Notamacropus eugenii: one gene and its partners. The protein of the gene in region 4 interacts with the protein of the main gene of each other region in a pairwise test. Links are inferred from orthologs where the notes say so. Each region holds a gene or a part of one and is shown on either strand. Other genes may lie near its edges. The genes, in order: KIAA1958, GRHL2, PDE4DIP and LMO4.

Region 1 (6,850 bases), on a different chromosome or scaffold from region 4:
ATCCAGTGAGAGGTTCACTCTTCCCCTCTCACCTCCTTCTCTTCCCCTTCATTTAAAAAAGCTTTTTCTTGCCTCTTTAATTCTATTTCTCCCTTTCTCCTTCTCCCAATATATTCCTCTCTCATCCCTTAATTTTATTTTTTTCAGATATCATCCCTTCATATTCAACTCACCCTGTGCCCTCTGTCTATATATATATATATAATCCCTCCAACTACCCTAATACTGAGAAAAGTCTTAAGAGTTGCAAATATTATCTTTCCGTGCAGGAACGTAAACAGTTCAACTGTAGTAAGTCCCTTATGACTTCTCTTTCCTGTTTATGTTTCATGCTTCCCTTGATTCTTGTGTTTGAAAGTGAAATATTCTATCCAGCTCTGGTCTTTTCATCAAGAATGCTTGAAAGTCTTCTGTTTCACTGAGTGATTGTTTTTTCCCCTGAAGTATTATACTCAGTTTTGCTGGGTAGGTGATTCTTGGTTTTAATCCAAGCTCCTTTGACCTCTGGAATATCATATTCCAAGCCCTCTGATTTCTCAATGTAGAAGCTGCTAGAGTTTGTGTTATCCTGATTGTATTTCCACAACACTCAAACTATTTCTTTCTGGCTGCTTGCAATTTTCTCCTTGACCTGGGAGCTCTGGCATTTGGCTTCAGTATTCCTAGGAGTTTTCTTTTTGGGATCTCTTTCAGGAGGTGATTGGTGGGTTCTTTCAATATCTATTTTACTCTCTGCTTCTAGAATATCAGGGCAGTTTTCCTCAATAATTTCTTGAAAGATGATGTCTAGGTTCTTTTTTTTTGATCATCATTTTCAAGTAGTCCAATAATTTTTAAATTGTCTCTCTTGGATCTGTTTTCCAGGTCAGTTGTTTTTCCAATGAGATATTTCACATTGTCTGCTATTTTTTTCATTCTTTTGGTTTTATTTTATAATTTCTTGATTTTTCATAAACTCATAAGCTAATAAGAGCTTCCATCTGCTCCATTCTCATATTTAAGAAATTATTTTCTTCAGTGAACTTTGGGAATTCCTTTTCCATCTGCCAATTCTTCTTTTTAAGGCTTTTTAGATCTCTTTTGCCATTTGGGTTAGTTTATTTTTTAAGATATTATTTTCTTCAGCATTTTTTTGGGTCCCCTTTAGTAAGCAGTTGACTCGTTTTTCATGATTTTCTTCTATCACTATTATTTCTTTTTCCAATTTTTACTCTATACTTGATTTTCAAAATCCTTTGTGAGCTCTTCCATGGCCTGAGACCAATTCATAGTTTTCTTGGAGGCCTTTGATGTAGAAACTTTGACTTTGTTGTCTTCTTCTGTTTGTATATTTTGGTTTTTCTTGTCACTAAAGTAAGATTCTTCAGTCTGATTTTTTTCCTGTTTTTGCTCATTTCCCCAGCCAATTACTTGACTTTTAAGCTCTTTGTCAAGGTAGTTTTCTGTTTCCAGTGTGGGTGGGGAGTGTACTTTCAGCTGCTCCATCGTCCCAGTGGGCATAGAGCTCCAGAAACAGCCGCTGCTGTTTCTGCTACTACTGCTATGGCTGCAGCTGTGGCTGCCACAGTCTCCTCAACCCCCTCTGCCACCCTGGGGCTGGGGCCAGACCACTCTACTCTCTCACACAGGTCATACAGATTTTTTTCCACTGACCTTCCAATTTATCCTCAGTGTTTCGGGGTTGTGAAGTCTGAAAGCCACCACAGGTGCCAAAAATTCAGTCCCCTTCTTAGTCTGCTCAGGTCCTGTCTCTGCCAATGTGGCCAACACTGCACTGTGCTCAGCTCCCAGCACAATGTGATAGATGCTTCCCATTGATCTTCCAGGCTGTCTTGAGGTGGATATTTGGTTCACTCCATCATTCTCTGTTTTCTGCATCTCCAGAATTTGTTTAGAGTCATTTTTTAGAAGTATTTGGCTGGGTTTGGGGGGAGAACACTAGCTAGTCTCTCCTACTGCACCATCTTGATTTTATCCCTCCTAGACCACACTTCACAAATATTATAACAAGTATTTTATCCTTACAATAACACCAGGACATAAGTGCTATTATTACTATTCCTATTTTGTAGATAAGAAAACTGAGGATCAAATAAGATAGCATATATAAAGTGCTTTGCAAACTTTAAAGCTCTATATGAATTCTAGATACTATTAGCAATTTTTTGTTATTTTCTTGTTCAGTCATGACTGTCTCTCTTTTTGTGACCCTGTGGAACCATTTTCTTCTCCAGTATGTCCCCATTTTACAGATAAGTAACTGAGGCAATTAGAGGTTAAATGACTTGCCCAAGGTCACACAGATATTAAGTTTCTGAGGCTGGATTTGAACTCAGGTCCTCTTGACTCCAGGCCTGGTGCTCTATCCACTGCACTACCAGCTTACCAAATAGTGGTAACCAATTTGTAATGGAAGCTCAAAAGCACTGAAGAACTCAACCTAGAAGGAACAATAAGAAATTGACAGCAGTGCAGATCACATAGTCTAACACTCCTATTGAACAGGTGAAGAGTGTTAGGTCCCTGTAGGGGAAGTGGTTTGCCTAAAGGTAAGGTACATATAGGTAGCAAGTGACAAAGAAAAAGAAATTGAAGTTGGGTCCTCTCTCTCCAGATTTAAGGGGCTTATTCACTCCATTGCATTGTTTCCAATAAAGTTTTCCTTCTTAAATTATGAAGTCTTTTTTCAAGAAAAATGGATAGTGTCAGGCAATAATTTTCTCAAGTTTTATGCTCATGAACCATATGCCAAAGTAGTGAAAAGTTCCTCCAGTTGTTCCCTGGGCTCTTTGTGTCATATGAGAGGCTGAATATATATGATCGTTGACTAAATTTCAGGAATAAACCTGAATGTCTTCTCGAGTAACTGACTTAATCCCAACATCCATAAAAACCCCAACATTCTAAATGAAAACAAATGAGTTTCTAGGACAATTTCCTTGATTGAAGATACAAGTACTTAGCTGAGGGTTAAATGGAGAACAAAGATAAGCTTTGATCACATTCTTGAGAAAATTGGGGACTGGCAAAATGAGCCAATGTTACTTTGAATTCATCTAGTAGACAAACAATAAAATATTACTAAATGCCTGAGACTTCCTTTCAAAAGAGGGACTAAAAAAAACCCCAACAGAAATAATTTATATCCTGTGTGACCCAGGGCAAGACTCTTAACTGTAATTGCCTCCAAAAAAGAGGATGGAAGAGAGGGGGGGGGGGGAAGGGAGGGAGGAAGGAAGGAAGGAAGAGAGAGAGAGAGAGAGAGAGAGAGAGAGAGAGAGAGAGAGAGAGAAAGAAAGAAAGAAAGAAAGAAAGAAAGAAAGAAAGAAAGAAAGAAAGAAAGAAAGGAAGAAAGAAAGGAAGAAAGAAAGAAAGAAAAAGCTAATGATGTGGGGCACATAGGTGGCACAGTGGATAAGAGCCCTTGGCCTGGGGGCGGAGCCAAGATGGCGGAGTAGAAAGACTCACATACACATAGCTCCGAACCCACAACCCATAGAACATCTACAAAAAAGTAAGGGGATAAGCAGGGTGGGGGGGATGATGGAAGGGAGGGCACGGGGAGGAGGGAGCAATTGGAGGTCAACACTCATGGGGAGGGTCAGGATCAAAAGAGAGAACAGAAGTAATGGGGGACAGGATAGGATGGAGGGAAATATAATTAGTTCTTACACAACACTACTATTATGGAAGTCATTTGCAAAACTACACAGATCTGGCCTATATTGAATTGCTTGCCTTCCAAAGGGAAGGGGTGGGGAGGGAGGGAGGGCAGATTGGCAGACAGGGGCAATTAGAACGCTTGGTGTTTTGGGGTGGGGGGAGGGGACAAAAGGGGAGAAAATGTGGAACCCAAAATTTTGTGAAAATGAATGTTAAAAGTTAAATAAATTAATTTAAAAAAAAAAAAAAGAGCCCTTGACCTGTGGTCAGAAAGGCCAGAGCTCAAATGTGACCTCAGACACTGTGTGACCCTGGGCAAATCACTTAACCCTTGCCTACATAAAATGGGAGAAGGAAATGGCAAAGCACTCCAGTGTCCTTGCCAAAAAAAAACCAAACCCATGGATAGAGACCATGGGGTCACATAGATAGTTGGACATGACTGAATGACTGAACAATAGCAACAATTATTCTTTATGCCTGCTCCACCTATTTCATTGTGCCATCAGCTTCTGGTGCAGGGCAGGACCCTACTGCTCCCTGCCTTCGAGAGAGCTCCTCTTAGCCACATGAGGTTCAGCTTTTATAACTAAAAATCTTGATATTTCTCCTTTCTTTCTGACACCTGGGAAGGCTTTCTTCTACCTGAAGGACCAGTCTTCATTTGTTCAGCCAGTGAAATGCCACAGTTGAATTTTAAGTCTTTTTAAGTATGAAGAATCTCTTAAGCAATTAGGTGGGATTGTCCCAGTGACTGAGAGCTATAAAATTATAACCTCTCCCAAATTGGAGGCAGGCCTTGAGCCCCAGGGAAACTATTCTCCCCTAAACTTTGAAAAAATTCATTTTGATTGACTTGAAAGGGAGGACCAGGAAGCTGATAGCACCAGCAATAATGACAACTATCATTTTATGTAGCAATTTAAGTTGTGTACAACTCTTTATATGTATTATCTTATTTGATCCCTACAATAACCTTGCTGAGAGCTCAATGCTATTATTACCCCCATTCTCCAGATAAGAAAAGTAAGACAAATAAAGGTTAAATGATTTTCTCAGGGTCATATAACTAGTTAGTATCTGAGTTCAGATTTGAACTGAATCTACTGTGCCACCCAGTTGCCTATTAGTAGTATAGCTTCAGCCACAAGTAAGTCCAGGGAAGAGAGACTTTTTAGTTTCATAAATTAAATTTGTCTTTTTTGTTTCATTACAATATGATAAAAAGGGAATAGTTTTATGAATATCAAAGAGATTCTGATTGTTAGTGGCCTAAAACATTAGTTAAGGTATCCAGGCAAAAGGACCTGAAATTAGACTCTTGGAAGAATTAAAACCCTTTATCTTACCTGGTTTTCCATTACAGTCAAATAGGATAATAGGTTTAGAATTGGGTGGAACCTTAAAGTTCCACATCCTCATTTTACACATGAGGGAACTGAGGCCCTTGCCTCATTAAACTTGCCAAGACTGGACATTAGCCAGTGTTCTCTGATGCCAAATCCCATTCTCTTTTTCTCAACAAACATTGATTAAGCACTGTAGCAGGTTTATCATGAAAACATCCCCAATTATTTTTATGAATGGAAACTTACACAAATACTGAATGTTAGAAATTTTTGTCACAGGTTTGGAGTTCTGTTAGGGAGAAGATATCCAACCACTAATCCGGCAATTAAGCACTTCCCTCTCAGACATAAGGAAGATGAATTTTCAGTACTAGGGCAACATTTATGACAGAAAGAAACAACCATTGTTGATGTTCTCGGGAAGTTTAGATCATTTTTGTTATTTTAACTAGTTCTTTTCAATTAGGAAAAAAGAACAACCCAGAAAAGTTAATGGTACCTCACAGAACAAATACGATGAAACTGTAGGGACACTTTTCATTATTTTAATGCAAGCGGTCAAGTTGTACCAAATACTAAAGTCTTTTCAATATTTTATGGATTTTCTTTTGCCAAGGTTCCTTTTGGTTCACTGTAATAGCAGATAGCATGAGACTGTAATAGACAGCCAGCTTAAATGTCTGTTACTTCACATTTGTTACTTTGGGGGAGAAGAGTTCCATTTGTTTGACCAATAATAGTTTTAAATTAATTTATATGAATATTGTATTTTCTAACCAAAATTTAAACAGACTTCATGATGTGCTTATTGATTACTTAAATCCTCTGTGGGTGTCCTTTATGGATTGGAATCCTGAGGGATGGTTTAGCTCTGAACTTTTACAAGCCTAAACTTATTGAATTTATTTGAGTCAATTCAACAATCATTTTTTAAAGAGTCTACTATGTGCCGAATACTGTGGTGGGCTAGGGAAAGATACATAAAGATGAATTTTTTTAAATCCCTGCTCTCATGGAGCTTATAATCTAGTGGAGGTCTATGACAAGTACACAAGTAACTAAAAGAGACAAAAACAAATTTCTCTGTGACAGCAGAGGAGAAGGGATCTAATGGCTCTTAGGGGGATGCTTATGGGTTCATGTTCAACCTAGTTCTGAGAAATATTGTTGAATGTAAATTGAAGGGTCTAGAGTTCCAAGTCCTAGTTTCTTTCATGTCAGTATCTAGCTGTATTGTCTTGGTCAAGTTATATATTTCTCTGGGTTTTAATTTTCTGTTATGTAAAATAAGGGGATTGTTTCCAAAAATCTCATGACTAAAATTAGCTCTAATATTCTATTATTATATTTCATTCCTACAATCATTGAAGATAAGATTATGCAGGACTTGGTGATGAATATTTCTAGTTATTTATTCATTAGAACTTATTTTTATTTATACATTTTTTATAATTAATCATATGCAAACTAGACTTAGAGAAGTTTTGTTGATAAATTTTATCTTTGACTTTTTATTTCATTGAGATGTCATAAATAAAGGAAATTGCATACCACTCCAGTATCCTTGCCAAAAAAAGCCCCATGGATAGAGTCCATGGGATCACATAGTTGGATATCAGTCAACAACTAAAGAATAATAAACACAAATAATATTTTTTTAAAAAAGGAAATTTTCTCTCTTTAACTGCAAAAGGAAAATAATACTGGTGTAGAGTCAGAAGATCAGAATTCAAACCTCTCTACCTCTGAATACCTATGGACCTTAGGCAGATCACTTAGTCCTCTTTAGTTAGACCTGGTTTTCCTCATTTTTAAAACTATGGGAATTTTGCCGCTTG
Region 2 (7,560 bases), on a different chromosome or scaffold from region 4:
ACTACTAACTGGGAGATCAGTGAAGAGCTATTGAAGGAAGATGGTAGAACTGGAACTGAGCCTTATGTACCGTCTCTGAAACTGTCCCTCTCCCCAACAGTACACAAGCCTACTTTGGAGCATTCTCCATTCAAAAAGAGAGAGAGAGAGCCTACATTATCAAGAAAAGTTATTTTGTTGTTGGATTTGAAAAGTTTTTCTCAATAATTCCAGTTCAGAAACACATGTATAGATAATGTAGTTTATTGTTTTGTCTTCTTGCAATTTTGTCTGCACAATTAATTTTCTCCAGACAGAAAAGAATTAGAAATTATTATAGTACTAAGGTCCTGCAAAGGCTCTGCATACAGTATGTGCTTAATAAAAGTGTGTTGAATTGATTTGAATTCCATTGAAAATTAAAATATTAAAACATACTGCAAAGTCAATCATTAAAGTTCAAAATTTGTTTTGAACAGTAAACAAATTGTCCTTGCTGGGATAGAATGTAACTTGTTTAAATAAACGTCAAAGTGTTTTCATTAAGGAATTTTCTGCCTCACGTTAAATAACAAATAAAACTAAGCTGCTAGGCTAAATGGTCCTTGTACCATACAAATAAAGGAACTACAGCACCATAAAATACTAAAGATGTATACAGTAGAAGTCAAAACCCTGCCTTCCTACCACATGTTGGCAAACATTTTACACACACACACACACACACACACACACACACACACACACACACACCCTTGGCATTTTGATCCTGGACGTGAAGTTTTGAAATCCAGTAAAAACTACATTCATCTGCATGAAACTGGTATTTCCCTAAAGGCTGCTAAGAAAGAACTAGTTTCAAGTCATGCCCATTTCCATACATACACACCAGTCAACACACCCACTATTTACCTGCAGCTGCAATAACTGTCTTTGGTGCCCAACATATTTGTATTGTAAATTTAATAGATATTATCAATATTCAGTCCCTGTGGCTCACGTCGATGAGGACGATTACAACTACAAGACAGTCCTTATGTCCTGAGGTGAGGTCACCATCCCCACAGAAAGTCCGGGCTCAAACTCTCTACTCTCCTTGGAACTTTCCCGGCACTCCCGCCCAACCTCAAGTCCCTCCAGGGTCCCTAAGCGAGAGTGTGGCCCCCGGCAAAATTCTTCCAAAGAAGAGCAAGCAGTTGGCCGCCTCCAGGCGCTGGGCTGCTTGGCCTCTCAATGACACAATCAGGAAGGTCTCAGCTTCGGCCACAACACTGGGGTAAAGTTACCAGCGAAAGCAAAAGCAAAAAAAAAAAAAAAAAAAAAAGAACCCCGACGCATTTCCAATTGGATGAGGATCGTTCGGACTTGGGGACGCAGTGAGGAGGGGAGAGCTGCCATTCAAGCCAATGAAATGTACAAGCACCAACCCCCAGCTCCCTTTCTTTCCAGCTTCCCCCTCCCCCCTCCCATCACAAAGCCTGAAGAGAGGGCGGGGACCAGGCCGGCTTGGGAGAGGCTGCTGCGACCAGCACAGCGCAGAAGTCACAAGAGAGTGTGCTGGATCGTCTAGCGCCCCGGAACCCAATTGAAGGCCCCCGGGACTTCTTAGTAACAGTCTTCGTTAGTTACGGGCTGTCCTGACTCCCACTCGGCCAGCGGCCCCACCCCACCCCTTCCCTCCACCCTCGCAGTGTCACAAGAGCCATTTCATTATTTCTTTTCTACGAAGCAGACGTGCATTTCAACTCCTGACTTTAAGGGATATTTATTGTTCTCCTTGATATAAATACACCTGATTCACTTCCTCCCAGTCTTCCAACTCTCAGATTTCCATTTGTAAAAGCAAGAGGGAATTTCACGAAAAAATAAATAATTAAATAAAGAGAGCAAACACAAGCACCTGATTATTTTAAGGCCTCCTGACCTATAGTCAAAAGCAGGGACCTTAAGTTGAGCAGCAGGTTTCAGTGTTAGGAGTTGGGCCGCAGCGACGTTTGTGGGGGGAGGTTGGGGGGCGGGGGGGCGGGCGGGGATGCTTTACTTTAGTGATTTAGTGTTGACAAGACATCCAGGGGAATAGGGGTCAATGCCACCAGCCACTGCTGAGAAGCAGGTTCTTGTCGGGAATCAATGCCTCTCACTTTTGAAAGGCCCTTTTCCCAGGGCACAAAGCAGACAGGGAAATCATAAAGGGAATTGGGGCGGGGGCAGGAAGAGGGGAGGAGGTGGAGAGAAGGAGATTTAGTGGTGGGGGAGGAGATGGCGCCATCCAGTAGCACCCCCTGGGGGAAGGCTGGGCTCCCCAAACTGCTCGCGGCTTCGGAGCGAGACACGCACGCACTCACGCACGCGGGCTCACGCGCACAATGCACACACGTACACACACACACACACACACACACACACACACACACTCAGGGTGAGGGGAAGATGGCCGTTTGTACTTCAATATAAAAGCTCTTTGTTGCTCTCACACAAAAGCGAAGAACCTTTTTTTGTGGCTGGGCCTGTAGGAAAAATCGAGGAACCTCGGCTGAACTTTCAAAGGGAAAAAGGCTCCCCCAAAACGTTTGAGGGGTGAGGGCGGGGAGGGTTTATCAAGTCAGGGAAAAGACTACTGTCCCACCACTAAAAACCCTGCAAATGTCTAATTATTTTTAAGAGGATGAAAAATATTCATTTTTAGAGGAAAGTAAAAAACTAGTTTCTTGAGCAAGGCCCAAAGGAGTTCTTCAACTTTCCTATTCTTGTGGCTTTTTTTTAATCCTTTTCCCTCATCAGGGAAGAAACACAATCCGAAACGGTCCGGATGCACAAAAGAGGGGGAAAAAATCAAACACAATAACACACAATAAAAGCCCCAAACGACAAACCAGTTGCCATCAGCCCAGAGTAGTAGGAGCGGCGGCGGCGGCGGCGGCGGCGGCAGCAGCAGCGTGTGATCCACTTACTTGTCCGACTCTTGTGACATGTTTGATCCAATGAACTCTCTCCCCTTTTCCTGGTGCCTCAGTCTCTGGCGAAACTGGACTTTCAAGTCTGTGCAGGTGAAGGTGTGTGCGAGCGCCCGAGATGGCAGAACCAGAGGTACAGGTAATTCTGCTTTTCCGTTCCCCCTCAACCACTCTCTCTCGCTTGCTCGCTCCCTCACCTAGCCGGAAAGGTGGGATAAGGAGCGGGCCCCCCTCACATGTGGCAAGAGCTCGGAGGCGGCGGGGTGCTGCTAGCTTCTCCTCGCTGGTGGCAAAGGGGAGGCACAGAGCGGGCGAAAAGTGGAGGACTTGGGCGGCCACAGGTAACTTTCTCGCTAGGAGCCGAATTCTTTCACTAAAGGGTACAAGCCTGAGGGACGAGCTGCGCGCTGATTGGCTGCGGGGAGCCCTCAGGTGAGCTACCATTGGCAGATAGGCGCTCAGGTAAGGCCCCTCTCCAAGAGCAGGTAACTCTCCAAAGTTTACCTGAGCAGTAACAGCAGCAGTAGCCGCAGCCAGGGCGGCAGGGGCAGCCCCGGGCTCTGGAGCAACCTCAGGAAGACCTGATTGGGTCGGGGCGTTTCAAGTCTCCTTCATGCTACATTTCCCTCGTTCCTTAAGGCCTTGGAAGAAAACAGCCAGCACCTGCAGACTCGTGGAATTGTCGGTCAAACTAAAGACAAAGAAAGTTAACAATACTGAATTCGAGTATCCTAGGCTAGCTCTGATCGAACGAGCAAAACAGTTCAAAACACAGTTTAAGGCTACATGAAGAGGGCTGGTTGACAGGGGTGGAAAACAGAAATAAAGTTACTTTATGCTTTCCAAAATAAGAGAAACGAAAACTATATAAAAAAGAATACCAACTTTACGCACAACATTGAAGATCTTGAAGTGCAGAAGAACAAAACGTGTGCAACATTTTACTCTTGGGTTTGGTCTGTTCTCGGGTGGAGTGGAAAAGTTTTGTTAAATAGAAACCATTATGGGCTCCTGGGTGACAAGTACTTTGAAGACTTGGATTCCAGAGCAGCAAACCAGTGCTAGATCTGTGTTCTCCACAGCCCCTCCACAACACCCCAGCACCTTGTTGTCATTTGATGTTTCCCAGGGATGCATCAACATTTACATTGTAATTCAATAGAAGCAGCCACTACAAAGGTGCTTTATCCCTCCAGCTTAGTAAGGTTGCTAGGGTGACAGTTAAGGATAAAACTGCATTTTTCATAACTACATTTCTAGAATCTGGAAGCAACATTGTACAGCAAATAGGTAGTGTACAATTATATGTTGCTAAAGTGTGACACCTAACACTTGAACTTGCTTGATTTGGGAGGCTAGCAGGGAGAACCTAGCCAAAAAACATGGAGGATCTTTAAATAAGTATTAAAAGCACTAGAAAATATACCCTTTTATTTCAGGCTGAAGTCAAAGAGATTGTCTAAGAGATTAAGATTTTGTTTTATCCTTCTGGATCAAATACTCTTTGGAAAATACATCATGGAAATTAAGATTTGACTATTACTATCTGGCTCGCTTCCATCCCATGAAGAAATAAAGATTTACATATAGCTCATTCTGAATATTTTGACTAAATTGTTTATGTCAAACATGGTGATACACCCAAATGGAACTATTTTACAAAGACTTTGTTCAGTAAACTATGATAGATGTTCAAGCTCTCTTTCTCTTTCTGCCCGGATGTTTCTGACCTGCTAATTATTTTGTTAATTTTCAGGAGATATATTGTATTCGTTATCCAATTAATATTGTTTGCAGTTAGTCCTTGAAGATCTGAATAAATGGAGGAAAGCCAGAATGATTTGCTGAAATTGAAAATCCAAAAAGTTAATGTTATCCAATAAATTAAACTTTCTCAGTTACTAAATAATTTGAGAGGTACCAGTAAGTACCAAAATTGAGTTTTTGTTTAGGTTTATGTCCATATCAACAGATAGTCGATAGGTAGAGAATAATAACAAACCATTAACAGATCTGCATAATCCCCAAATTATAACTGGCCTCTAAACAATCAAGAATTTGAGATTACATTCAGTGAGGTTTCGTTTTTGAGAATTTTGCAGTTGTTAAGAGGTGATTCTCAACTTATCCCAAAGAAATGGAGAGGGGAGAAAAGGGGAGGGAGGGGGAAGTAGCTACCTACTCTTAATATGAAACACTTTAAATAAAGCAGATTTGTTGCTTCAAGATGCAACATCTGGTGTTGAAAACGGATGCTGTGGCAGTGCATTTGCAACCATTGATAGGGTCTGATTGAAAAAGTAAAATTTAAGTTTGCTGGCCAGACCATTCTATTCACAACAAATAACTCAATAGCAGCCTAAATTGAAAATATTCCCCTAAGAATCACTAGAGATTGAATGAAGTTTCACTGTCTAAGGAGACAGGTCAACATGACATCATTAAATTGTGTGTAAAGTAGTTATTCTTTGATTAACAAAAGAGAGGCAATACTGTTTTTGTAAAGTATGCTATAAAATAAATTTATAGAAGATAGATTCTATTTTTCTCATCAACTTCAGTCATAAAATCAGATATAGTTTCCATGAAAAAAATATATTGGAAATCACACTTACGACTATAGCAAAGCAGACCTTTGAAGATTAAGAAGAAAAAGTATTTTCTAATAAAACATTCAGAGAAACAACAGTACTCAAAATACTGACAGTCAAATAAATCACAAAACTTAAAAAAAAATAAGAGCAATAGTCTGAAATTCAAAGAGAACTGAGTTCTAATCCCAGTTCTGCTTATTACTTTATTCCATGATCAACTGCAATAAACATGAAATCTTTACATCTTTGAATGAGGGGAGGTAGGATAAAATTGATGAGTTCTTTAAAGTCTCTTCATCTTTCACAGTCTATCAGTCTAGAGCAATGAGTCTAAATATAATGCTTTGTTGTTGTTAAATCCATGAGAGCTGAGGAAATCACTAAGAAATAGTATGGAGAGAAAAGAGGGCTCTTGATAGAATCTTGGAGGACACCCACAGTGACATGAAGAAGATGCAGTAAAAGAAACAAAGATCTTCATCCATGTCATATCCACTGGTAGTATACCCAAAGACTGTATTCTGGGCTCTTTTCTATTTTCTGTACCCCTTCATTGAATAGCTAGGTGACACAATGGATAGAGCACCTCTCCTGGAGTCAGGAAGGTCTGAGTTAAAATCCTGCCTCAGACATTTACCAGTGGTGTGACCCTGGGAAAGTCACTTAACCCAGTTTGCCTCAGTTTCCTCATCTGTAAAATGAGCTGACGAAGGAAATGGCAAACCATTCCAGTACCTTTGCCAAGAAAACTCTATAGGTCACAAAGAATCAGACATGACTGAAAAACAATGCCCTTGTTTGGTGATTTCATCAGTTCCAATGGGTTTGGTTATGATCTCTATGCAAATGACTTTCCAGATTTACGCAAGGAGCTTTAGTTCTTCTGCTGGGTTCCAGGCACACATCACAAACTGCCTATTGGACATTTCCAATCTGAAGTCCCATAGGCATCTCAAGCTCAATGTGTACAAAACAACTCATTATCCTTTCCCTCAAACCTACATCTCTTCCAAATCTTTTCTTGCTAGAGCATTATTATCCTTCCAGTCATCCAGGTACAAAACCTTGGCATCATCCTCAACGGCTCACTCTGACTCAACCTACATAACAAATTAGCTGTCAGATCTTGTTTCTATCTCCACAACATCACTCTCAAATAGATCCCCTTCCTTCCTCAAACTCTCACCATCTTTCATCTAAACTATTTCAAGAGCATCCTACTTGGTCTACCTACCTCAAGTATCTTCTTACTTCATTTGATCCTTCACACAGTTGCCACAGTGATATTTTCAAGAATCAGGTCTGACCATGTCACCCCATTATTCAGACTCCTATTACTCCTTATTGGACTGAACAACATACTCCTTATCACCTCTATGATCAAATAGAATTGTAAATCAAATATAAATGCCTTTCTTTGGCCTTTAAAACTTTACAATCTGGCCCTGTCTGTCCTACTCATCTTATATTTCACTTCCCTCTATGTACTTTATAGTTCAACCATACTGGTCTACTTACTGTACCTCACACACAGTGCCTCATCTTCCATCTCTGGGCTTTTGCACATTTCCTATGCCTGAAATGGTGTCCCTCTTCATTTCTACCTCTTAGAATATATGGCTTCTTTCAAGACCCAACTTAAGCCATGTACTATAGGAAAGCCTCCTAGTTGCTAGTTCTTTCACTTCTAAGATTGCCTCATATCTACTTTGTATGTATCTTATCTATATACATTTTTTTTCAGTTGTGTCTGACTCTTCCCATTTGAGGTTTTCTTGGAAAGACTGGTGGTTACCATTTCCTTCTCTCACTCATTGTACAGATGAGGTAACTGAGACAAACAGGATTAAGTGACTTGCCCATGCTCACACAGTTAGTGTCTCCAGCCAGATTTGAACTCAGAAAGAAAAGTCTTCCTGTCTCCATGCCTAACCCTCTATCCACTAAGCCACCTAGCTATGCCCATGTATGTGTTCTTACTTACATTAGAATGTAAGGCCCCAGTGGGCAGAAATTTTTTTTCTTTCTGACTC
Region 3 (7,056 bases), about 200 Mb from region 4:
ATGGTTACTATAGAAACAAAATGGCACCTCTCTAGTGTCTAGGCTGAATTAAGACCAATTGCCTCTCTCAAGTCATTAAAGTGAAATCAAAATACTAGTTGAAGTGGTCTTCTTGCCATAAGACAAGTATGTAAAAACCTCAGTTTCGTGAAAAATATACTCAGCACAAATGCACCTGGGATTGATGACTGGGAGTGACTTTCACCTAAATGCTTTAAGTAATATCTTAGTTTAATCCCCAAGGCCTTTAAAACAATTTTAAAAAAAAGACTCAAGGGATAAAACAAGCCATCTTGAAGAAGAGCCCCCAAATGATGCCCTTAATTATAATAAGTACAGCAGCTGAACAAAAACATTTTTCTGATAGCATTTTACTAATTAATGGATTTTCCTCAAACTCTACCATCTGCTACAATCACTTTGGGAGCACTTGAACACAAAAAGATTACTGTTCCAGGCTAGTCTGTGAGAAAGAAAAAACTAGCCCTCTCATTGACAATGAAAAGGATCAATCAAGTTGTGAAACTAAAAGAGGAAGAGGTAAACAAGAGAGGGATAGCATTAGAGCAAAGGCTGTCTGCCCTTTTTTAGAAACAACATTTACTAAGAATTTAGTGTTGATTGAATCTTTTTGCTTAAAAAAATTTTGGGGGGGGGGGGTCAACTGATGTTGCATGCAGAATCAAAGCTGCAAATGGATTTACCTACACACCAAAAAGTGGCAAGAGAAATATGGGCAGCATGAAAGTCAAGGAAGAATAGAGTTAGAATACTTGACTGGTTAACTTTGCTGGTTAACTTTGACTAATTAGAAGCCATGTGAAAGTCTGGAGACAATCTAGTTGCGTCATCTGATAAAACTGAATTGTCATAGTATTACATATCATCTACCTGGAACCGGAGCGGCAAATAGTCCTCATAGAGATCATCCCACAGTTCTTGCAGTTCAGAAATCTCTGGGGAACAACCCACAGGTGTCTTGGAAAGGGATTTCACAGGCCTGTTTAGGAAATTGGGACTGGTCCCATCTGCCATGAGATGGCCAGGCTTGGTTCCAGGTGGACTGGATTTCACTGGTATAGGAAGCTTGCTCCCTCGGGGGCTCTGGATGGGTTTATAGTCAAAACCTTTAATCATGTTAAGCGCTAGTTCCAGCTTGTGGCCACATGTGTATTGGATCGCTTGATCATCTGAGCAGCAATCACACTTTGGGAGTTCTTTACTGCCTCTCTCAGGTTCCTCATCCCTCTGTTGTGGAAGGCTGGCCTGTACGGTAGCATCCAAAGATTCCACGGAGGAACCAGGAGTTCCTTCTTCCATGCTTTCCCCATCTGCTGGTCCCTTTGTGCTTGATAGGTCTGGTGGCCCAACCTCTGACAAGGCTGGCTCTTCAGTACATATACTGGTAGACCACCTGGTAGAAGCCCCATAGGAGATGCTTCTGGCTACCTTTCGGGGTACCTTACAAATGGCTTCATAGTCAGAATCAGCAACCCTTAAAGCAGCACAGCCCCTACACCTCCTGGGCCTGTTTCCAGGGCCCTCTGAAGTGTGGCAGCTGTGAGCTTCTTGAGTCTGGTCCTCATTTTCTGCCCAGCACTCAAACCCGGAGTATGCAAAGTCTTCCTGGAGCAGAGCCGTGTATCTGACATCTGGTAAACTGGACATATCCACAGTCCCATTCCCTACTTTGGCTTCGGTGCTGGGGTCATCGTTATTCTTCCTGTACATGCTGGCGATGCAGAATTTGAGGCGCTCCTTCTCAAGCAGCAGCTTTTGTAGGCGCTCAATGGAGAGGGCTTCGATCCTGGCGATGACGGTGTCGAAGCGATAGATGCGGTCCAGCATGAAAGCGCACTTGCTGCAGGCAAACTCGCCTTTGCCATCGCGGGAGACATCCTTGCCCAGGACATGGGACAGGAGCACCTGGAGGTTGAGCTTGGTGGTGGTGTGGAAAATCCAGCGCCGCTGGTTGCCGCACAGCTCCCGGGCACAGATCCTGCAGATTTCCTTCATCTTCGGTCCTGGCTGTGCCTGGATTCCCAGGGACGGGAGGGGATGAGCTGGGAAGGGACGGGCGAGGGATAAGGTCGGGTGGGACGGGCTGGGAAGCGCTCACTCACTCGGGGGCTCCGTGGCGCGGCACGCCATGCCCCTGGGCACCCGCTCTCCCGGCTGCCCCACACCTGTGCCTCTACCTGGGCGCGCACGCGCGCTCCGCTCTGGGTACCACTCGCGGGGAGTCCCCGCCCCTCGTGGACCGGCTGTCCGCCGGCGGGAGACTCAAGGGGATGCCAAGCGACCCCGGCGCCGGACTCCTTCTGAACCCGCCATCCTGGTTTCGGCCATCCAGCCACCGGCACGGCGTTCCGACCTCTCTTCCTCTTCTTGCCGCAGCCACTGCCCCAGCTCAGGGCCGCCGAAGCAGCCGCCGCCACTAACGTTCCAGCTCAGAGATTGAGGATCAGATTTCAAGATGGCGCCAGGGGCTTCTGCGCACGCGGGAACTGTAAAGGGCTTCTGGGAGTTGCAGTCCACCCGGACTGGGGCTCCAAGTGGCTGAGCGCGCAGAGCCTTTGGACATCCCCGTCTCTGCGATCCTCAGGGTGGGCTTCAGCAGCGGAGGGGGCGAGAGCGGTGAACCTTGCCAGCTCGGTCTCTGCCCAGAAAGGTCCCCAGATCCTGCAGTTTGAGTCTCTCAGAGCTGTCCGTCTACTGGTTGCTCCTCCTGCGCAAGGACAAGGGGAGGGGAGAGAGAACTCCCTCCTCTTTCTTTTTCTCCTCCTCCTTTCAGCCTCGGGGACAGTCAGTGCCACGTACCCCGGTGCGAGCTGGCAGCGCCATCCCTCGCCTCCTCCTACCCGCACCCCCTCCCTGCTCAGCCCTTGCATGGGCATCCTTTCAGACAGCGGACACGTCTTGAAATGTTCTCTATGGATTCGAGATCTCGTCTTGGGACGAAGGAATGTCCTTCCACCACACCTGCTATAACTCAGTTCAAACCATCCAGGAAAAAGAGAAGGCGAGGACTTCTCCTGGGGCATGGGAAATAGAGAATAACGTAACCTAGTGGGACGAGCCAACGGCCCGAGTGAAAATATCCTTGCAAGTGCAAGGTTGGACAAGGAGGCAGAACACTCCAGAAACCTTCTGTGCAATCCGTAATGTATTGGGATTGAGTGAGAATGGATCTGGAAGGGTAACAATCATAATAATACCATTTATATAGCCTTAAAGAGTTCAGGCGGGTTTGCATAAGTTATCGCTTTTGATCGTCACAAACAGGCCAACGAGCTCAATTCAGGACATTCAGGTGAACAAATCCTATTTTAACAGAAGAGGACAGGTGGGGGGGGGGGGGGAACAGATTCTCTTTTGGGGCCATAAGGGAGCCAGATAATCATTATCTAGAGAAGGTCATTAAGTCTGACCTAGGGCCAGGGAATTTTAGTTCAAGATTATCTTAGGCACCGTTCAGTATGGGGAGTTTTAAATGAATTTTTGATTACCTTATCCTGGGATTTTTTTCCTGGATGTTTTTATTCTCTCTTCTTTTGTTTAAAAAAAAAAGTCGTGGAAAACCCACTCTATACTTAGTAGTCTGTGGCAGAGAGAAGTGAGAAAGGGAAGAGGGAGTTGAATACCAGACCAAGGCTATGGTAAAAGAGGGAAATGGTCATTTGGAGTTAGGTGGGGCAGATCATAGATTTAGAAGGGGAAGAGAAGGAAAAGGTCATCCAATCCAATCTCATTTTTTTTTTTTTATCTATGAGAAAACAGAAGTGACTTCTTCAAGAAAATACAGATAGAAAAAGTCAGGGCAGGACCAGAAACCAGGTCTTCTGATTTTTGTTGTTGTTGTTGTTCTACACCCCACTTCTTTCCAATATCTAGAAACTCAGGGAGCTAAACAGAATTATGAACCAAGGGAAGTCGGAAGATACCTGGAGTTGAGGGTTCAGTGATGGAAGAAAGTTTTTAAAAAAAAAAAAAAGGTAAAGATGAAAGTTTTGGAGACAAAAAGATATGCTCCTCTGATTCAGTTCCAACGAGGAGCACCAAGGAAAAAGGCCTAGGGTTGGATATTTCACAAGTGATGTGGCTGAGAAAGATGGATCAGTGCTGAGGAGAGTGAGTTTTAAGAAGCATTGAGGGACCCTTTACCAGAGGCATACATAGAGCAAGAACACTGGATTTGGCTAAAATGTGGAGAACTTGGATTTGAATCTTCACCCTGTTAATAATGACTTCAGGGGGAAAGAAACATTTATTAAGCCCCTACTATGTGCCAGGCATTGTACTAGGTACTTTACAGATATTATCTCATTTGATCTTTATAACAACCCTGTGAGGTAGGTTCTATTATGATACTCATTTTTGTTCTGTTGTTTTTCAGTCATGTCCAGCTCTCTTGGCAAGGATATTGAAAAGGTTTGCCATCTCCTTCTCCAGATAATTTTACAGATGAGGAAACTGAGGCAAATAGGGTTAAGTGATTTGTCCAGGGTCATACATATAGTTAAGTATTAGAGGCAGGATTTGAACTCAGGTCTCCCTGACTCAGTTCTCCAAGATTCAGTCTCTAAGATGAAGGTGATAGATAAGAGGACTCTTGAGGTCCCAGCTGCAACTTTTTAATTGTGAATGTAGTAATTGACTTTGGAGATAGAATAGGTGTTAATATCTGGGGGTTGTTCCATGAACTACAAGATTTCAGGGGTTTCATGAACTTGGATGAAAAAAAATTAATCTTTCCACGATACTTTGTTTTCTTTGTAATCCTATGTGCTTTATTTTGTGCATTTAAAAACATTATTCTGAGAAGTGGTTCATAGGCTTTTACTAGACTGCCAAAGAAGTCCATCATACACACATGGGCACACACACACACACACACACAAAGTTAAGAACTCCTGAGATAGAGATTCCACATTCAAAGTCCCACCTCTGACATTTACTGACTGTATTTAAACTTTCTGGCCCTCAGCTTCCTTTGCTGCAAAATATGGGGATTGGTCTAGATGGTTTCCTCTAGTGGTCTGATCCTATGCTCAAGACTGATATTTGGCTCGATCCCCATATATTGGTTCAATTCATTAAACAGGTTTTTTTTTAAGTACCTTTTATGAGCAAGGCACTGAACTTAGTTTGGTGCAGCTCATGTCCAGTCTAATAACTGCATACATTGTTTTATAGGTCAATAAAAAAAGGGAGTGTAATTATTATGATCCCTATTTTACAGAGGATAATCCCAGGAATTAAGCGTGTTGTCTAAAGTCACCCAGTGAGTAAAGGGGTAGAGCAAGGACTAGAGGCCTAGTCTTCAGTTCACTGCTCTTTCCAACCCTATATAAGTTCCAAAGTAGGAACACCCCCCCAGGGGGTGCTAGAATGATGGGGGGGGGGGGGGGGGCAGTAGTAGCCTCAGGTGCAGGTGGTGGGTATTGAATAAAAGTAAGAGGCAGTAGAAGTATAAGGAAAGAAGATAATTTTGAACAAAAATATTGGTACACATTTCATCTGTTGTGTATCAGTCGTAGTGATTACATTATTTTTCCAAATAAACACACAAAATGCAAGTTATAACTCATCAGTGGTCAAGTTGGAGGGCAGGTCTTAACAAGTAAGTATTGGTAGGGGTGTAGGCTTGTTGTCAAGAAGTCCAGCATGCATCCACAGGAATATGTGCATGTTTATAATACGATACTATACAGTTACATGACATAATATTGCATCATCAAAATTCCAATGCAGAAAAAAACCACAAGTATACAGTAAATTATTAAATTTAAGATGCATCTTTTTTTAAATGACACAATTTTTTTTTAATTAAAAGGTTAAAGAAAATAGATTTCCATAGGGGTTCTGAGTAATTTTTTTTGAGAAGGGGGCAGTAGGCCAAAAAAGTTTGGGAAACCAATACACTAAAACAAAAGAGAAATCCCCAGGTAAGTAGGTTCCCAGTTACACCAGCCATCTCTGAGAACATGTTCAGTGTCCCATGTGGCACCCAGTACAAATGCCTTGCCTCCCAACAGAGAACAGATACTTTTATAACTCTGCTGTTTGAAATTTTCGGCCCCAAAATAGAGTTCTAAGATTCCAAAGTAGGGTTTGAATGCAATCATAATAAATTGCACCATCTGTTTCTTTAGCGCCTCAATCTGGTATGCAAATATTCAAACCCGGGTATCCTGATATTCAGCTAAAGAAAACACAAACAAACTGCTAGCAGTTCCATTTGGGGGGAGGGGTTAGGTTTGGAGAGTTGAAGAGCTCTGGGGTCTTGAGATACCAGCCCTGTCCCTCGCTTCTGGACTTCCAAACCTCTGCCCCTGCCTCATTCTGGAACTTCCCTCAAGTCTGAGCCTCCTCAAGTCTATCCCTCTGCTAGGTCCACCCTCCTCCCCCACAGGGGAATTCCTCCTTTGGCCTCCATTTTGTAGAAGGGGGTATAACGCCTGGCCAAACTTTGTTCCCTTCCTGGTTCAGCCCCCAACTTTGCAGTCTTTATTCTCCTCCTGGTTCCACTCCTGACTTCCAAGTTTCAGAATGAAGGTGAAGGGAGAGGAGACCTTCTCCTCAATGTCTTCTCCCCTCCCCCAGCTTTCCAGCTCCCTTTTGGGTGTTACCTTCCCAAGTCCGAAAGTAAGGTCCTTAAGCACTGGGACTGTCTTTCTTTTTGCTTGCTTTTGTATCCTTGGTCTCTCACATATCCCAGATAAACAGTAAATGCTAAATAAATGCCTTTTTCCTCCCTCCCTTCCTTCCAATTATGATATCTTATTTAATTATACATATCATGGTCCTGTCACCAAATCAAAGCAATTCAATCAAAGGCTGTCAGTATGAGGTGTGTTGGAAGGAGGATCCTTTTTCCCAGCTCTGAAATCCTGTGAAATACCCAACATAAAATTAAGAAGTCTCACAGTCTCCTTTGATTACATTTTCTGGGCCCCCTCTAGTAAGAGTTTTAAGTCAGGACATGTTGAACAAGATTCTTCAGAAATGCAGCTGTTGATCTGTCTAGTAGGGAGTATGCCTTGATCTGCCCTG
Region 4 (8,018 bases):
GAAGGAAGGGGCACAAACCAGACCCTCTTTCCAAAGCACTGTTCTCAGGGCTCGGTTCCGAATCCAAGAGGCTCCCTCGGAACTTTGCTGAGCAGCCCACACTGACAACTTCAGCTTGGCGACTGTCAAAGTCTTCTAGCGAGAGAGGCTCTGCAGTGCGATTCCCTCCTTCCCACCCACCCACTCTCAACTCCCCGCCCCCAGCCTCCGCCTATCTCCCCCCACCCCCACCTCGGCACGCATCTAGCCTCTAGCAAATGAGGGTCATTTACCCCAGCCCCAGCAGCGGAGGCAGGAGGACGAGCAGCAGCAGTGGGCCGAGCCCAGGCTTCCCACCCCCCGCAGCCCCCTACCCCTATATCATGCCCAACTCTGGGAAGTGCAGCTGGAGCTCAAGTTGGGAACACTTCAGTTTCCTGAGAGGGAGGGAGAGAGAGAGGGAGCAGAGGGAAATAGAAGGAGTGGGGGTGGGAGGGGAAAGGGGGATGGAGGATGGGAGTGGGGGGAAAGGGAGAGAGAGGGAAACAGTGCAGTGTGTAAAGTTGCGAAACTGGTTTTTCGGATTTTTTAAACAGCACCTTTCACATGCCATTGTGGTGACGGCCATCTCCCATTATTGTTCCAAATCTCATTTCATTCTGAAGATCAATGAGTGTTTTCTCTGGGTTTTCAGGACACCGGCCAGAATAATAGATCATTGAACTTTAGGACGCCTGTTAACTTCCTATACAAACACACTCCACTTTTGTCTCGCTAATCTGCCCTTGATCAGTAATTTAAATGCTAAAGCTTTGTTCCATAAAAAAAAGGGGGGGGGTAGGGAGAGAAGGAGGAGGAGGGAAGAACTTTGGGGATAATCTGAGAACGATCAAGGGATACACTAGTTAAATTCGAGCTAGCCAGGCTGTCACCAAAAACTGCTTTTAAAAAAATTCCCCCACACTTTCTAAATGAATGCCACAAGAGAGGCAGCAACTGGGGGAATAATATAGGAATCAATTTATAAAGCTTAGACTAAACCGATTAATTTGTGGCCTCCGATCCCGAGTCCAATAAACTCCTAGTGTTCCTCCAGTCACTTATACTATAAAAAGATCAAGTTATTTACTGCCAATTAAGCAGCATGTTTTTGTCTTTGTCCTTTGTAAGCCGAGTGTGTGTACTCATACCAAGGCTTTGGGCCATCTCCTAAAGGCATTCAGACTGATACCTCCGAAGAAAGACGGCGAACTTTTTTTTGCCTGCCCCTGGCCCAACTTGGTAGCTGGCAAGAGGGGAGGGCACCAAGCCCCAAGTCCCCGGGTTCCTAAAATAGGCCGATTTTTAAACACATTTCCTCCGAAAGCGTCCCTGAACGTGTCTCTAGTGACCACACAATAAACCAGAAAAAGAACTCCACCAATTAAGCTGTAACAAAACCCCGAGACTTTGGAAACAGGACCACTCTAAAACCCATTAGCATTGCATTTATCCGAATGCATCATACCTTTATGTAAATTGATTTATCTGATGCATTTACTCGAGGAATTGCTTTTTGTTACAATTTCAGCCCTAACCCAAATGAATCTGCATTTCCTGCCCAGAGTCTTAAAAATGTTTCCCTTTACGTTCTAATCGCTTTGAATTCCTTTAAAAGGGGGGCGGGGGGGAGAGGGGGAGAGAAGAGAGAGAGAGACAGAGACAGAGACAGAGACAGAGACAGAGAGACGGGGAGAGATTCCATGCTGCTTATCCTGAATCTTTGCTGTGAAGTAAACATATGTATGTAAATATATGTGTATGTATGTGTGTATATTCTCTATAATGTGTGTATTACATATGTGTATGTACATATATAATTTTTTAAAGGAAACATTACACTGAGCAGAAGCATCCAGTAACCCCATTAGCTAAAGCTCTTAAGGACAAGCAATACCTTAATGCTGATTAAATCTAAAAGAGATGATGAATCAAGGACTGACCAGAAACTGACTCCCCAGATAACTAAGGACGGGCCCTCATCAAGTTTCATTTAGAGTTGGAAAAAAAAAAAGAAAAGCTTTTAAGTTAAATAGGCTTATATTCTAGTAATTACATAGCCGAGCAATTTAGGTCCTGGGATAGAGTCAGTGAAACAGAAAGCAGAACTGGCAGCTAGAGGCAAAATAAGCCCCCCTTTAACAACGTCTCTGGTGTTTTTTAATGGAGACCAAGGGAGGGACAGGCGTAGGGCTGGCAATTTGTAGTACAAAAATGGATGCTTAATTCATGTCTTGATTTTAATTAGGTGATTCACCGGATTTCTCCTGGATTGAAACAAAAGACTTATAAGCCAAAAGGAATTTTTTTCTTTAAAAAAAAAGACACCAATACAAAAACCCTGCCCACTTTGATCCTTTCTGCCACTGTTTCAAAAATAGTGTTTACTGGGGGGCGAAGGGGGGTTGGGGGAGGAGGGAGGCAAGACTATTTTTCCCCACCTCAATTCATAACCGAAACAGGCAAAGCCTTTCACTTCTGGGCTGGAAAGGCGCTCCCCCCCTTCCCCCCCCAAGCCCTCCTCTTCGAACAAACCCTTTTGTAAGCAGGGACCGCTACAAAGCTGACGGCCCTGGTGCTCGCCTGCCTGCCGGCCTGCCGGCCTCCTGCTCGGTCCACCCGCCTGCCAGCCCGCCCCCCAGCCTGCCTTCCTCTAGTTTCAGACTCCCTCATTATCTAAGCCGACGTATTGTTTACTTGCAATTTGGGACGGGGAAGGGAAAGCAGCCAAAGAAAACAACCACGGTACAGGACACCTCCCCCCCTTCCCGGTCTCCGGGCCACCAGCACCACCAACCCCCAGCCCTCCCCCCCACCTCCCGCCCCATCTCCTCTCCCCAGCAAGTCCGCTTACCTGTTTTTCCCCTATATTGCAAAAAGACGGCGGCGGCGGCGGCGAGATCTCCGCGGAGCCGCTCGCTCGGCTTCCCCGGGCTGCTGGACTGATGGAGCTGGATGGATAGATGGATGGGAGGAAGGAGGAGGGAGGGAGGGAGCGAGTTCTTGCAGAAGTGGAGTGGAGGGGGGAGGAGGAGGGGTGGGACAAGGTAATCTTTTTTCTTTCTTTCTTTTTTTTTAATGCGCGGCTCTATTGGTGGGTCGGGTGCCCCCCAGCGAAGTGGCCGCCCGGCCCCGGAGCGGAGGGTTCCGTCTCAGTCCTTCTCTCTCTCCTCCTCCTCCAGCTTCGCCCGAGCAGCTGCAAGGCTGGCTGGCTGGCTGGCTCTCGGGCCCCGCGAGCAGCTCGGCTTCAGGCGCGGCGGCGGCGACTGCTGCAGTCGCTGCTGCAAGTTTGGCAATGTGGCTTCACTTTGTATATTCGGCACCCCCCCCCCCGCCCTCCCGGCCCCCCCTTCCTCCTCCTCCTTCTCCTCCTCCTTCCTTCCCTCCCTCGCTCGCTCTGGTCTGGCGGAGGCGGCGGCGATTGCTGAGATCCAGAAAGCGGCGGCGGCGGCAGCAGCGGAAACAACGAGAGCCCGGGCGGGCGCTGGGCGCTGGGCGGGCGGGCAGGCGGAGTCCCTCCAGGCCACTCAGAGCAGCCTTCCGCAGGAGTGCCAGCACGGGCTGCGGCGCGAGCGGAGCCGGGGCCAAGCCCGACAGCCGGGTCGAGGCCGGGCTGCTGCCGCTGTCCGCGCTGCCGCTGCTGCCGCCGCCGCTGCCCGGCTCCAAGGCGGCGCTGGCCTCTCGCCCGCTCGCGCTCTCCCTCCGCGGCTCTTACACATGTGTTACTGACAGAGCAGAATCCCAACTACTCTCCAGCTCAGCCGCCGACGTCAGCGGCCCTCAGCCACTGCGCGGCCGGATTGTTCAGGCGGAATAATAAAACCTGCCAATCCGGGGGAGGACAAAGGGATGACTGAAACCGGAGGCGGGGGGGAGGGAGGAAAGAGGGAGAGGAGGAAAAGAAGTGGAGGGAACCTGGGGGAAAGGAGAGGGCAGCGGCAGGTGGGGAAGCACGGCGGCGGCAGCCCGCAGGGACCCCCGCTGCTGCCCGCCGCTGCCCCTGCCTCCGCAGGACTCTCCCTTGCGTGTCCGAGCCAGGGACGCTTCCTAGTTCTCAAGGATTTCGGGGACATCCCCAGTCTAGGCCCTGGGAAAACTTTGGCATCTCTCACAGAAGACACTCCCGTACCCCCCTAAATGGGTGAAGGGGGCGTCCTCAAGTTCCAATCCAGCAGTTTTGCTGTTGTCCCAGGAGCAAGGGACGGGTGGGGTTCACACACACACACACACACACACACACACTCACAAAGTTGTTAGCTCTGATGTTTGGGGTTCAGAAACTTAAAGGGAAGTTTTGTTAATGGGGGGAAAACAGCAATCATCTTGCTTTTCCCTGCGAAATTTTCAGAGGGGAGACTTTTTTTTTAATCTCCCTTGACCGAGACATAAACCAACGCACTTAGTAGACTCTCAGGGAACACTCAGTGATGATCCTGGGCTCATAGACAAAGCTGAAGAAATCTGATGGAGGCGTTAACTGGGCATGCCCTCCTTTGTCAGCTTGCTCTGAGGAGAAGAGGAACCCATTTCTCCCAGGCATCCAGAAGCAAAGTTTTGAACAATAAGGCCAGATTAGCAATCATGCATGCTTTGGAGAATAAGGAAGCTCACTTTCAACGTAAATCATATGTTTGGAGGCAATGTTCTCAGCATGTTAGAGCCCAGGAACACCCACAGTCAAAGAACCTGCAAGTGGGTCTCTCTTCCCTCTACCTCCTGCTGTCAGCTTCTAAAGTTTCAACTCAGGATTCAACTTTAAGCTGCAAATGAGGTAATAAAAGTCCTATTTGCTGGGCCAATATTAGGTCTAATTGTTAGTAGAAAGTTATGGAGGGATGGTCCTGGAAAATAGCTGTGCAAGGACAAAGGCCTTTTGGTAGCTGCGGTTTAGTAGATGAGTCTGGGCCTTGGTGTCAGACAACTGGGTCTGACTCCTGAGCCTACAGTTCTTAAGTGATAGTAGACAAGGCCTCTTAACCTCTCTGTATCTCAGTTTCTGATAGGACTAGGTGATGGTAATTTCCCTTTGGACTATAACCTCTTATCATCCTTTTAAGGAAATGGAATGAAATCAGCCCTGTGGGATAAATTTATCTCTTCCATACTCTGTGCTGATGAGAAGACAAGAAGACTGGCCAAAGAACCCAGTTAGAAGGGCTCCCTCTTCACAGGCTGTGATTTTACTGTCTGCAAGTTTTACAGATTTTCAAAATTCAGGCTTTCAAAGAAATAGCAATAATATCTGAATGGTGACTATGCACCCAAAATAGCAGAAAATGGTTTAAAATAAACAACTTCAGTATCCAACATTTCGAGCTAAAGGGGAAGTTATTTGGTTCAACTTTTTCATTTTAGAGATGAGGAGTCTGAGACCCAGAAAAGTGCTCCAAACCATGCACCGTGAAGGTTGGAGTCAGAATTCACACTCAGGTCCTAAGAATCCCCATCTGGCATACTTTGCATTGTAGTATATTGCAAAGTATACAGAATGTTCTGCTAGATATCTAAATTAACATTCTTCAATTAACTTAAAATATCACAATGCTGAAATTTGTCCATCAGTATCAAAACTTGTAATATTCTTAATTCTTTCACTTTGGGTTGGAACTGTACTAAGGAATTCCCTCAGGTTCGCAACCTCTCTGTAATTGACACTCTTACAAGAGGAAGAAGTTAGTCCATCAGTTAACAAACATTTATTAAGAGCTTACTATGTGCCTGGCACTGTGCTAAGTTAAGTGCTCAGAATAGAAAGAAATGCAAATGCTTGGTCCCTGCCCTCAAAAAGTTCACATTGTAATGAGACAAGACAATACATTAAAATCTATATACAGAAATTGGAGGAACTTGGATAGGCTTACATAGCCAGTATGCGTCAGAGGTGGGACAGTGAGGCCAGGTCTTGCCATGGTTCACTCTGCCATGGTTATGACAGATAGGAATGTGATCTTAAAGGATTCAATAGTGTAGAAATATAAGACAGCGCCTTAAAATCTCCAAACCAAAACCTCCACTCAGTCTGTGATTATCTGATTATGAGAAGGCTCAGACAAAACCAAACAGAAGAGAGAATTCTATGCACATCGAAGTAGCAGATCTTAATTTCTTAACTCAATTTTTCCCATGTAAATAATTTACCAGCATAAAAGTGAAATAACACCAGTTCATGATGGGGGGTACAATTAAATTTAGGCCTATAATGAAAAGCACATTTCAGGTATATTTCTCAAGCAAAATGCCCTTCATCGAGGTGAGAATGAAGCTAGTCCTATCCAGGGCTAAGGGCAAGCTAGGCTACTGGCAAGGCCCATGTAGATGTGGATTCTTCTGTGATTCTTCAAGCAAGCTAAAAGAGGCCTCCTGGTTTGCTCCTGGATTAAAGGATGTTCAAACCCTCTGGTCTGAGGAGTAATATCTTCACCGACCATGTGGAGGGAAGTGTTTTTACCAGCGATGTTTGTTTGCTGAGGTTGTGGTTGCATAAATACAAAAGAGATAATGGTTAACGATGTCTCTTCAGAGGCATCTGGAGTAAATCAGTACACGGTAATCAAAATCCAGGTGTACTTTAACCAGAGCGCCACCTCTGGGTAATCTTTATTTCTGCAGGTTTAGCCTTCACATGGACTTTCTGATCTATTCTAGAGGAGCTATAAAGGTTTAGAATCTGAAAGGCCTTTCTGGCTATTTTTCTTAGTGATGCTGCAGAAAAATTAAACACACATACACACAGAAGTGTTGTTCTTTCAAAGCAGGGAAGGTTTATCTATGAGGAAATCTCAAAATTCAAAATGATGGAAAATAATATCTACAACAATAATATCTATAGATCTAATTCATTTATTAAATTAATTATAATCTAAAGAATTACAATTTATTTCAATGATTATAGTATTAATTATGATATAAATTATTATTTTTTATAAGTTATTAAATAATTGAGAGGTAGTCTGGCATAGTAGATAAAATGCTAGATCTACAGTTAGGAAGCCCTGGGTTCCAGTCCTGCCTTACATGTTTATTAAAAATTGGACCATGAGCAAGTAAGTCAGTTAGTCTAAGACTAAGCTATATAGAAGTCATTGGTTCTGGGGAAAGATATCTTGCATGAACAGAACCACACTTATTTGACAGCATAAAAGTAATTATGCATCATCAATGCATGTAAGTCAGGATGATACCTCCTTTTTCATCATTCAGCATAATCAAATACAAATAAAACCAAGGGTCTCTTGCCCTAGGGCATGTGTTATGTATCCCTTTGTGTGATAGACCCCCTTAGCAATCTAATGAAGTCCATGGACTTCTTCTCAGAATGAGGTTTTTAATGCATTTAATACGTAAGCTTACAAGGGAAACTCAGTATATCAAAATAATTATCAAAATATATATTTTTAAAGAGACCAAATTCATGGAGCTTAGGTTAAGAACCCCTGACCTAGAGGTTCATAGGAATAAAACTAGGACTGACCTTAGAAGTTATGTGGTCCAACATCTGCCCCTCCACAATCACACACACACACACACACACACACAGAGGGATGCTAAACTGAATTCTTATCGTTACTAAATTTGATTTTTGTGATGATAGGATCATTAATTTGGAGCTGGAAGAGATCTTAGAGTCCATTAAGTTCCACTATCCCCTTTGACAGACAGGTAAACTAAAGCCTGGAGAAGCTGACTTACCCAAGGTCACATACTAAGTAGGAGAGAGAGGATTTCAACATCTCCAAATCACGTTTCTGCAGCACCAAATTATTTCCATAATAAATTTAGATTATCTTCCACAACCATGCTTTTTTTTAAACCCGGGTTCAAATTCTGCTTCAGTTATATCTGATTGATCTTGGCCAATTCACTTAACTCCTCTGAGTGTGAATTTCCTCGTCTGTAAAATGAAAGGCATGTATCTCTAAGGTCTCTTCAGCTAAAGATCAGATAACCTTATGAGAATGAAAATCAAATTTAGCAGCAACATAACTTGATTTCACTTTCCT

Evidence for each region.
Region 1: the proteins of LMO4 (region 4) and KIAA1958 interact in binary tests that used the Homo sapiens proteins (3 or more experiments, as listed by UniProt). The two-hybrid records come from large-scale screens. The link is inferred for Notamacropus eugenii from reciprocal best matches to the Homo sapiens genes LMO4 and KIAA1958.
Region 2: the proteins of LMO4 (region 4) and GRHL2 interact in binary tests that used the Homo sapiens proteins (3 or more experiments, as listed by UniProt). The two-hybrid records come from large-scale screens. The link is inferred for Notamacropus eugenii from reciprocal best matches to the Homo sapiens genes LMO4 and GRHL2.
Region 3: the proteins of LMO4 (region 4) and PDE4DIP interact in binary tests that used the Homo sapiens proteins (3 or more experiments, as listed by UniProt). The two-hybrid records come from large-scale screens. The link is inferred for Notamacropus eugenii from reciprocal best matches to the Homo sapiens genes LMO4 and PDE4DIP.

The regions. Positions count from the first base shown.
Region 1 is NC_092874.1:402,317,937-402,324,786, reverse strand, and holds the start of KIAA1958 (uncharacterized protein KIAA1958 homolog), read left to right. Parts: upstream 1-3,829; 5' UTR 3,830-6,850.
Region 2 is NC_092875.1:149,734,170-149,741,729, forward strand, and holds the start of GRHL2 (grainyhead-like protein 2 homolog), read right to left. Parts: upstream 3,017-7,560; 5' UTR 2,951-3,016; coding exon 2,931-2,950; exon of another isoform or gene 2,853-2,930; intron 1-2,852. UniProt on the Homo sapiens protein: Transcription factor playing an important role in primary neurulation and in epithelial development. Binds directly to the consensus DNA sequence 5'-AACCGGTT-3' acting as an activator and repressor on distinct target genes.
Region 3 is NC_092873.1:300,438,041-300,445,096, reverse strand, and holds the start of PDE4DIP (myomegalin), read right to left. Parts: upstream 3,011-7,056; 5' UTR 2,017-3,010; coding exon 892-2,016; intron 1-891. UniProt on the Homo sapiens protein: Functions as an anchor sequestering components of the cAMP-dependent pathway to Golgi and/or centrosomes.
Region 4 is NC_092873.1:497,020,483-497,028,500, reverse strand, and holds the start of LMO4 (LIM domain transcription factor LMO4), read right to left. Parts: upstream 3,009-8,018; 5' UTR 2,873-3,008; intron 427-2,872; exon of another isoform or gene 273-426; intron 189-272; exon of another isoform or gene 19-188; intron 1-18. UniProt on the Homo sapiens protein: Transcription cofactor. Plays a role in establishing motor neuron identity, in concert with MNX1, acting, at least in part, to disrupt LDB1-LHX3 complexes thereby negatively modulating interneuron genes in motor neurons.